2 linked regions of the Danio rerio genome follow. The protein of the gene in region 2 binds, or shares a complex with, the protein of the main gene of each other region. Links are inferred from orthologs where the notes say so. Each region holds a gene or a part of one and is shown on either strand. Other genes may lie near its edges.

Region 1 (3,519 bases), on a different chromosome or scaffold from region 2:
CTGGCGATGAAGGGCTTGACGCTAAACTGCCTGGGGAAGAAAGAAGAAGCCTATGAACTAGTCCGCCGAGGGCTCCGAAATGACCTGAAGAGCCACGTCTGTATCCTTGGAGCTTGAGACCATTACACGCTTATGAATGCTTTCAGTTTGATATTTAAATGCATTAACCCATCAGTATTCAGAACAGAGTGTGGTAATGGTCCATGTGTTGGAATGAGTTTGTTTCCTCATGTTCACAGCACCAGAATTAACACTCGTCTCAGTTTGAAGCCTGTCGCTGGCGGTGGGATGCTGGATGTCCGCCAAGATTCCTGCCCTGTGTCTGACCATGATGCGCAGTGACACCATGAACTGTTTGGAGAGCTAAACACATAGTGCAGTGTTTCCTCGCTGACAGCCAAATGCTTCACATCCCAGAGGTTCATGTTAGACACAGAAAATTACCATTTTATAATAGAATAGGCCACTTCAGGACTTTAATATGTTGTTTTATTGGCTTTCTGTGTTTTCAGAATACCAAAAAATGAACAAGCAGACCCTGTACTTTCCATTGAGCCATCCAATGTTTAAAGATTTTAAACCTATTATAGTATTTCATAGGATTAGTAAATGGCAAAAAGAATAGTATTAAACAACAAACTATATGACATTAATCCTGTTCTGTGGGTAAAATTGGCATTTGTATTTTCAGTGATGATCACGGTTATGCCATATAAAAGCAGGGTTAAATGAGGTAGAATTGCAAGTTATTGATTTAGTTAAAGTTATTGATTTCACAATTTTATTAATCCTCTTCACAAGTCCAACATCTCACACATTTTGTGAAATTGTTCTAGTTCTTTTAAAGAGATTATATCACCATACACCATCATTTCCTTCTTTTGTTGAGTACAAAACAAGATATTCTGAAGAATGTTCTATTAAAAGCAGGAGTTGACATATAGTGTTTACAAAAATACTATTAAAGTCAACATTTTCCCAACAACCGTTATTTTGTTTGTTAGGGAAAAAACTTTAGTTTAATTAGAAAATGTAGCCAAGATACTGTCAGCTTAAACGGTATATTATATTTTTATGAATTTAGATGCCACTTTATTATTATATCAAACGTAAGCCAATTAAATTTGGCAACATATTATGACCCCCCCCCCTGCTTAGTGTGCAGGTTAAAAAAACAAAACATCTCAGACCTTGTGAATTTTCTCTGGGCTCAATTCTGGACTGACATCAGTCCTCTAGTGTTGAATTCTGTCCTTGCAATGTTTTTTGCTTTCCTTAACATGACATTTTCAGGTTGGCATGTGTATGGCCTGCTCCAAAGGTCTGACAAGAAGTACGACGAGGCTATTAAGTGTTACAGAAATGCACTGAAATGGGACAAAGACAACTTGCAGATCCTTCGAGATCTGTCTCTGCTGCAGATCCAGATGAGAGACCTGGAGGGTTACAGGGTGAGTGTGTGTGTGTTTCCTCACTACCTTTTTGTGTTTGTGTAATTGCATTTAGCTTTGCCAGCACAGAAAAAAAATGTTTTAAAAGTCTAGGAACTGAAATGATTTAATGTTGGGGTTAATAATAATAATAAGTTGTAAAATACACACAGCGTTGGTGGACATGAAAGACTTCTATCTAAAGCAGTGGTCCCCAACCACTGGGCTGCGGACCGGTACCGGTCCGTGGAACAATTGGTACCAGGCCACATAAGAAATAATAAATCATTTCTGTAGAAAATATTCCCCCCGCGACTTGGTTTCTTCCACTCACCCCCGCCATCTCACGTGAAATGGACTATGCCAAAATCCAACACGGAGCGCGAAGAATGATCGCTAGAATATATCTCAGGGGTTGTTGTAGATAGTTTAAAGTTATAAAACCGGTATTATAGAGTCCAAATCAGCAGACCATTTAAGGATTGTGCATATATGTGTGCGTGCATCTCTAAGTGAGTACCCGAAATCATTACAATATGTATCTATATGGAGTTTCACATAATCATTCTCATTAGGGCTGTAACATGCCAATGCATACATTTAATTCAGCTATACGATTGTATTATTGTTAATATGTTCGTCAGATGAAATGTTTGGCACAGATGTTATTTATTTGATGCATATAAATCTTGATTGTAACATAATTGCAACTAGCGCATGCGCACTGAATTGTTCATGATTAAACTGGATGCACCAGAGCAGCAGCTGTGTTTACGTGAAGACCCCCCCGGCCCACACCGGTCCGTTGTAAAATTGACAACCGTTGACCGGTCTGTGGTGATTAAAAGGTTGGGGACCACTGATCTAAAGCGTATACAATCTTACCAACCTTAAACTTTTGAACAGCAGTGCATTTTTTATTGTTGGACTATGTTTTACGTGCTTTAATATGCAACTATACTAAAGTATCAGGTTAATAGATTCATTGCATTAGAGAGCCCAGTTTTGCACAACGTAAAGGTAAAAAAAACAAATACAGGTCAAGTACAGGGCAGTGACTCAGCAATGTCCTTTTCCTGTCTTTTGTTTCTTTGTCTTGTACACTGTGATAAAGTTGCTGTTTAATGTTTCATGCCTTCCGGCGACTCTGATACCTGCTTCTACCACTGAAATGAAAACCTTTTAGATTTGAGCTTTGTGCAGTCTGGCTTCACTGTTTTCTGTAGTTTTAAACCCTACTTTAATGCATTGATTTGAAAGGGATCCTGTTTCTTCTCTGCATTCAGCAAAGCATAAACCTTTTTAATGGGAATGTCAGAGTGTCATTGTTTAAACTGTCTTGCAGGAGACGCGGTATCAGCTGCTGCAGTTGCGTCCTGCCCAGCGGGCGTCGTGGATTGGTTATGCCATCGCGTATCATCTCTTAGAAGACTATGAAATGGCTGCCAAAATCATTGAGGAGTTTAGAAAAACACAACAGGTAAATACAGGCAGAACTGGTCTATAAAGTAAGTCTGTAGTTATTTTTCATTGGCTGTCAAAATTAGGGTTGATGTCAACCAATTTAGCATCGTACGATGTCAAATGTAAAATATCACTATGGACGATGGCATCTTTGTCGTAGGCGGCGGTGAATTAATTATTTATGAATAATTAATTAGTTCATAACGAATTAAATATTTGTAGCCTATTGTTTGTAACTACCTGACACACAAATTACCTGTTACTAGTTACACACAAATTACCACCTGTCAATCACTTTTTTCTGCGAATGAGTAGGCAGAGTGATCTGTGTTTTAATGGTGCCGACAAACTTGGTTTATTAAAAAGGTCCCTTGATAAACTGTCTGACGTGCACTGCTCTGTGTTGTTTTGTGTTCAAAGCACCCTCTGACTGCCTGGAGCTCAGACGTGCTTATATGCTAGAGTGCTTGACAGTGTGTGTGTGTGTGTGTGTGTGTGTGTGGTCACATGATGGCCAATTTTTAGCTGTATAGTGTGGAAGGAGGGCTTTTCAGAAATGCTAGATGAAACGCCAGTGTGGACGTTTTTGTTATAAAATGCCATTTTAGAATGGCATTTCTTAATG
Region 2 (4,050 bases):
AGTTCCCTTATTTCTTTGCGGCAGATGTGCACCCTCTGGCCTTCTGAGGAGAATTACTAGTGATCACAGAGTCAAATTTCACTGACAGGATGTGCATGACAATCACAGCCTTTGATGAATTGCAATCTCCATTTCATTTTGATTAATCACAAGGCCCTAAAAAAAGACTTACAGAATTACAATATTTTTATTATTATCTGAGATTTACGGTGACTTATGTTCCAAACTGACTTATAAAATGCCATTAATGTAAAGCTATCAAAAAATGAAAAGCTTGCACGCATTTTGTTTGACAGTAAAGGATAAAATATTTGTATTTTGTTTTTACACTCACTGCTAGCTTCAGTTTATTTTAATTTATTTGGTCTTGACAATATATAGACTTTAGAATTTTTTTATTCGAAAAAATACTACACAAAATATTTCAGTTCTTATTATGTCCTGAACAGTTGAGTTACGGCTTTGTTGTGAAGTGAAGTGAATTCAAATGTAAGTGTTTTGCATCAGCGTTGTTACATACCTAGCTTGGCAAGCTCTCCCACTTCAAGAACATCTTTGTAGAACTTGTCGTTGTAGCTGACAGGGAAGATCACTTGATTCAGACGCTTCAATTGTTTAATGTTGTGGGGTGTAACATCCCCCAACTCGATCCGGCTACTAGAACAAAAGCAGAATGGTCAACTAGCTGTGAACTGACAAACAATGTCCTTTTCTTTACATGTCAGGTCAGCAAACAGTCCACATAAATGACAATATTACAGCTTTACTATTAGAAAAGCCCAAGATATTAGTACAATATCAGTTATCAGTTGATTCTGCTGCATACAAAGCGTCTATGGATATCCATTTTTACCTAATATTAGATTTATACATCATTGTCATTTGTGCTCATTGAACTTCAGGAACAGTAAAATTAATAATGTATACATGATCTTCACTATTTAATCACATTTAATGGTGTAATACTTAAATTACTTCTATAGTTGAATGCAACAGAGTATTTCATTTATTTTATATTAAAATTTGTATTGTATTTAAGCGATAGTTCACCTAAAAATTATAACTTTGTCATTGTTTCCTCATAGTCCACTTATGTCAAACCTGTTTGAGTTTCTTCTGTTGAACAAAGGAAGATATACTGAAAAATGATAGGAAAAAAACAGCCATTAATTTAAATTTGGTTTCTTTTTTCCGACATCATTTGTGTTCAACTGAAGAAAAAAATTTGTAAAAGTTTGGAAACACCTTAGATCGAATAAATGGTGAGAAAATTGTATTTGGGGGGGGGTGGGGGGGGGGGTGGGGGTGGGGGGGGTGAACTACCCCTATAATAACTTAGTATCAGCACATCCTCATTTATCTTTCGTGTGTGTGGGTGTGTGTGAGAGAGAGATACCCTAAAGGTGCACCCACAAAACTACACATTTCTTGTATAACTATGATCACCGTAAACCAGCAGTGCAAAAAGCAGGTATTTATAGGGAGGCAGCAAACTGAAGCCCAACACCAACAACAGCTGCTGGTCACATGTTCACCACTGCCACTGAACAACCAGCATGAGTTGACAGGAGAAAAACATACACACTAAATAGAGTTTACAGAACTTATGATCACAGAACAAATGCCTATACTACTATACACGGTCTTGAAATCAAAGTCCACTGATTAAAACAAGTTAGATAATAAAGTTTACCAATGCTTGGTAAAGCGATGAGAGTAAATACGTTTCAGATGATATTGCAGACTTTTAAAGCAATGGTGCACCACTTCTGTTCATGAAGGGCCCCTTAAAAATACATTTAGTATGTTTTTTTCTAGTGAAACACCTGATTCCCTTCAGCTCCATAGCAGAGACTCTTAATGGGTGTGTCGGATAAATGTGTACTGCTGGAGGCCTTCCAGGAACAGGGCTGGGTACCACTTTTTTACAGATGTGAATTCAAAACTTTAAAATATGAAATATTTTATGATATAAAACAGAATTGGATTTAGAATAAAAATTTAAATATCGCTGACTTTTCTTTATTCTACACACATGGTCACAGCAAACCACTACAGTGAGCTTAACGTAGCATATTAGACATATTTATGCATCGTTTCATCCATCAAACGTTAAAGAATCGTCCTTCATAAAGTGTTTTAAGACCGTATGAACTTGTTCTGTCATTTTCAAAGAGGACATGCTATGCGGCTAAGCTCACTCCATCACGTGTGTCACATTTCAATTCTTACATCAAAATAATCTCACATTAACCCCAACATGACAGCAACAAGCTTTAATACACTGCTATTAAATGTAACGATCCATCTGGGCGCCCATTTGGGAGAGGTTTCAGATTGGCTTGCTAACCAAGATAGCAACTTGAAGACTGACTCAACATTTTCGGATTTAGATTCGACACACGATCCAGTTTGGCACGGACTTCACTCGTGCCGTTTGTACTGGCATAAGATTTAATCTGGTGCTAGATTACATGAGGCACTTTTAAGCTATTTTCTGGAGATTTTGGGAAAAGATTAAGGTAAAACTAGGTGTAAAAACGCGGCGCAAATGTCTCTTCTCCACATTAAGCGCGCAGAGAGCTAACAGCTAGCATTAGAGCAACTCCACTGCCCCCCTGCTGGAAAAAAGAGAATAGAGAGGGGAAAACTTTACTTGAGAGGAATAGAGCCTTCTCTGTCGTCTACTCACCCTTTCATGTTGAAGAAAACACGTTTGTTGTGAGGGATACAGGGGCAGTTGGCGGTATTTGGCAGTCTAAAGGGAAATTTGGGCAGAGTTTGGGATGTGATCCCCTCCACATGTATGTTGCTAGCACACAAGCTAAGCAGTCCGCATTTGCCTCTGTGCTGTGGCCGAAGGTTGCCAAGTCTTTCCTATTAAACCAACACATATAACTTAGATCAGATTGTGAATTAGGAAAACGATATTTTAGTTGTTTTTTATAGTTGATTTATCGATAATGTTCATTTATAGATATAAATTATGTCATATGAGTTGAGATTGAACCCCGAAATAGGCATTTACGACTATACATAAGTAATTAGTCGGTGGTTACTGATGGTTGATTTGGCAACCTTGAATTCTGGGAGGCTGCTGCTGTCAACCTTCACCACTGACAACTAGCAACAGGAAATAGAAAAAAAACGGGAAATTGCGTTTTTGTGACTTAATAATACAAGTCTTATTGTTTTAATCCAAATAAAATGTTGTATAATCTCCTTCTCTAAAGACTTAGAAGGATTTAAAAAAAAATAAAAACATATTTCATGGACGTGATCTAATACAAGAATATTTTGTAAAATAAATAAAAGTGTTGTCCTTGGAATAAAACATTTATCTTCTCCCTGTTTGTGAAACCAGACCAGGTTTTATTGTTTTGAGTTTGTGTTGGCTTGTATTTCAAACTTATATTTAAACTCACAATACCGTGTTCAAAATTACACTGTTAAAAATTCCTTTATTTGCTTATTACAGCAAGATTTTGCCCCTTAGGTTACACAGATTTCACTCCACATATAAATGCATCAACTTGCTGCAATCTGTTGACTTATTATAGGTGCATATATTCATTTAATGTGTTCTAAAATTAAATTAATCTGACATTTTAAATGTATAGTCCATGACTGTCTACTTACACGTAGAAACACCCTTAAAAGAAAATGCCACCAACGAAAGTTACATTTTTAGTTTGAAGGGTGTAAGGTAAAATAATTTATTAATCACAGCATAGTATGCGATAGCCTAATCACTACTCTTCTTGAGTACTTTTAGAAAGGCTACTTTTACTCACACATCGAGTGGTATTTAGAAAACAGATACATTTACAAGTGTCTTGCACTGCATTATTTTGGCAAATAACAGTACTTATGCTTGAGTATGATGTTCAGTACTCTTTCCATCACTGCTTGTCAGGTAAACATGTGTTTTGTCAATTACAATACAATTACAATAGTCAGTTTAAAGGTAGGGGTGGCTTCTTCTTGGTTCGAGTCCCAGTTGAGCCAGTTGGGATTTGTGTGTGGGGTTTACATGTCCTCTCCATGTTC

The links.
Region 1: the proteins of naa50 (region 2) and naa15b are in contact, whole or in part, in a cryo-EM structure (PDB 6PPL), measured with the Homo sapiens proteins. The link is inferred for Danio rerio from reciprocal best matches to the Homo sapiens genes NAA50 and NAA15. Residues at the interface, in NP_079422.1 of Homo sapiens: Arg5, His14, Asn15, Lys17, Gln18, Arg21, Leu22, Val25, Phe51, Asn52, Ile54, Ala55, Leu80, Pro82, Tyr83, Leu86; in NP_476516.1 of Homo sapiens: Pro369, Pro370, Thr371, Leu374, Ser403, Thr404, Pro405, Thr406, Leu407, Ile408, Phe411, Glu433, Ala436, Leu437, Asp438, Thr439, Ala440.

Annotation. Positions count from the first base shown.
Region 1 is NC_133176.1:43,721,111-43,724,629, forward strand, and holds part of naa15b (N-alpha-acetyltransferase 15, NatA auxiliary subunit b), read left to right. Parts: coding exon 1-100; intron 101-1,293; coding exon 1,294-1,451; intron 1,452-2,775; coding exon 2,776-2,910; intron 2,911-3,519. UniProt on the Homo sapiens protein: Auxillary subunit of N-terminal acetyltransferase complexes which display alpha (N-terminal) acetyltransferase (NAT) activity. The NAT activity may be important for vascular, hematopoietic and neuronal growth and development.
Region 2 is NC_133199.1:25,053,985-25,058,034, reverse strand, and holds the start of naa50 (N-alpha-acetyltransferase 50), read right to left. Parts: upstream 2,820-4,050; 5' UTR 2,701-2,819; coding exon 2,693-2,700; intron 658-2,692; coding exon of another isoform or gene 655-657; coding exon 521-654; intron 1-520. UniProt on the Homo sapiens protein: N-alpha-acetyltransferase that acetylates the N-terminus of proteins that retain their initiating methionine. Has a broad substrate specificity: able to acetylate the initiator methionine of most peptides, except for those with a proline in second position.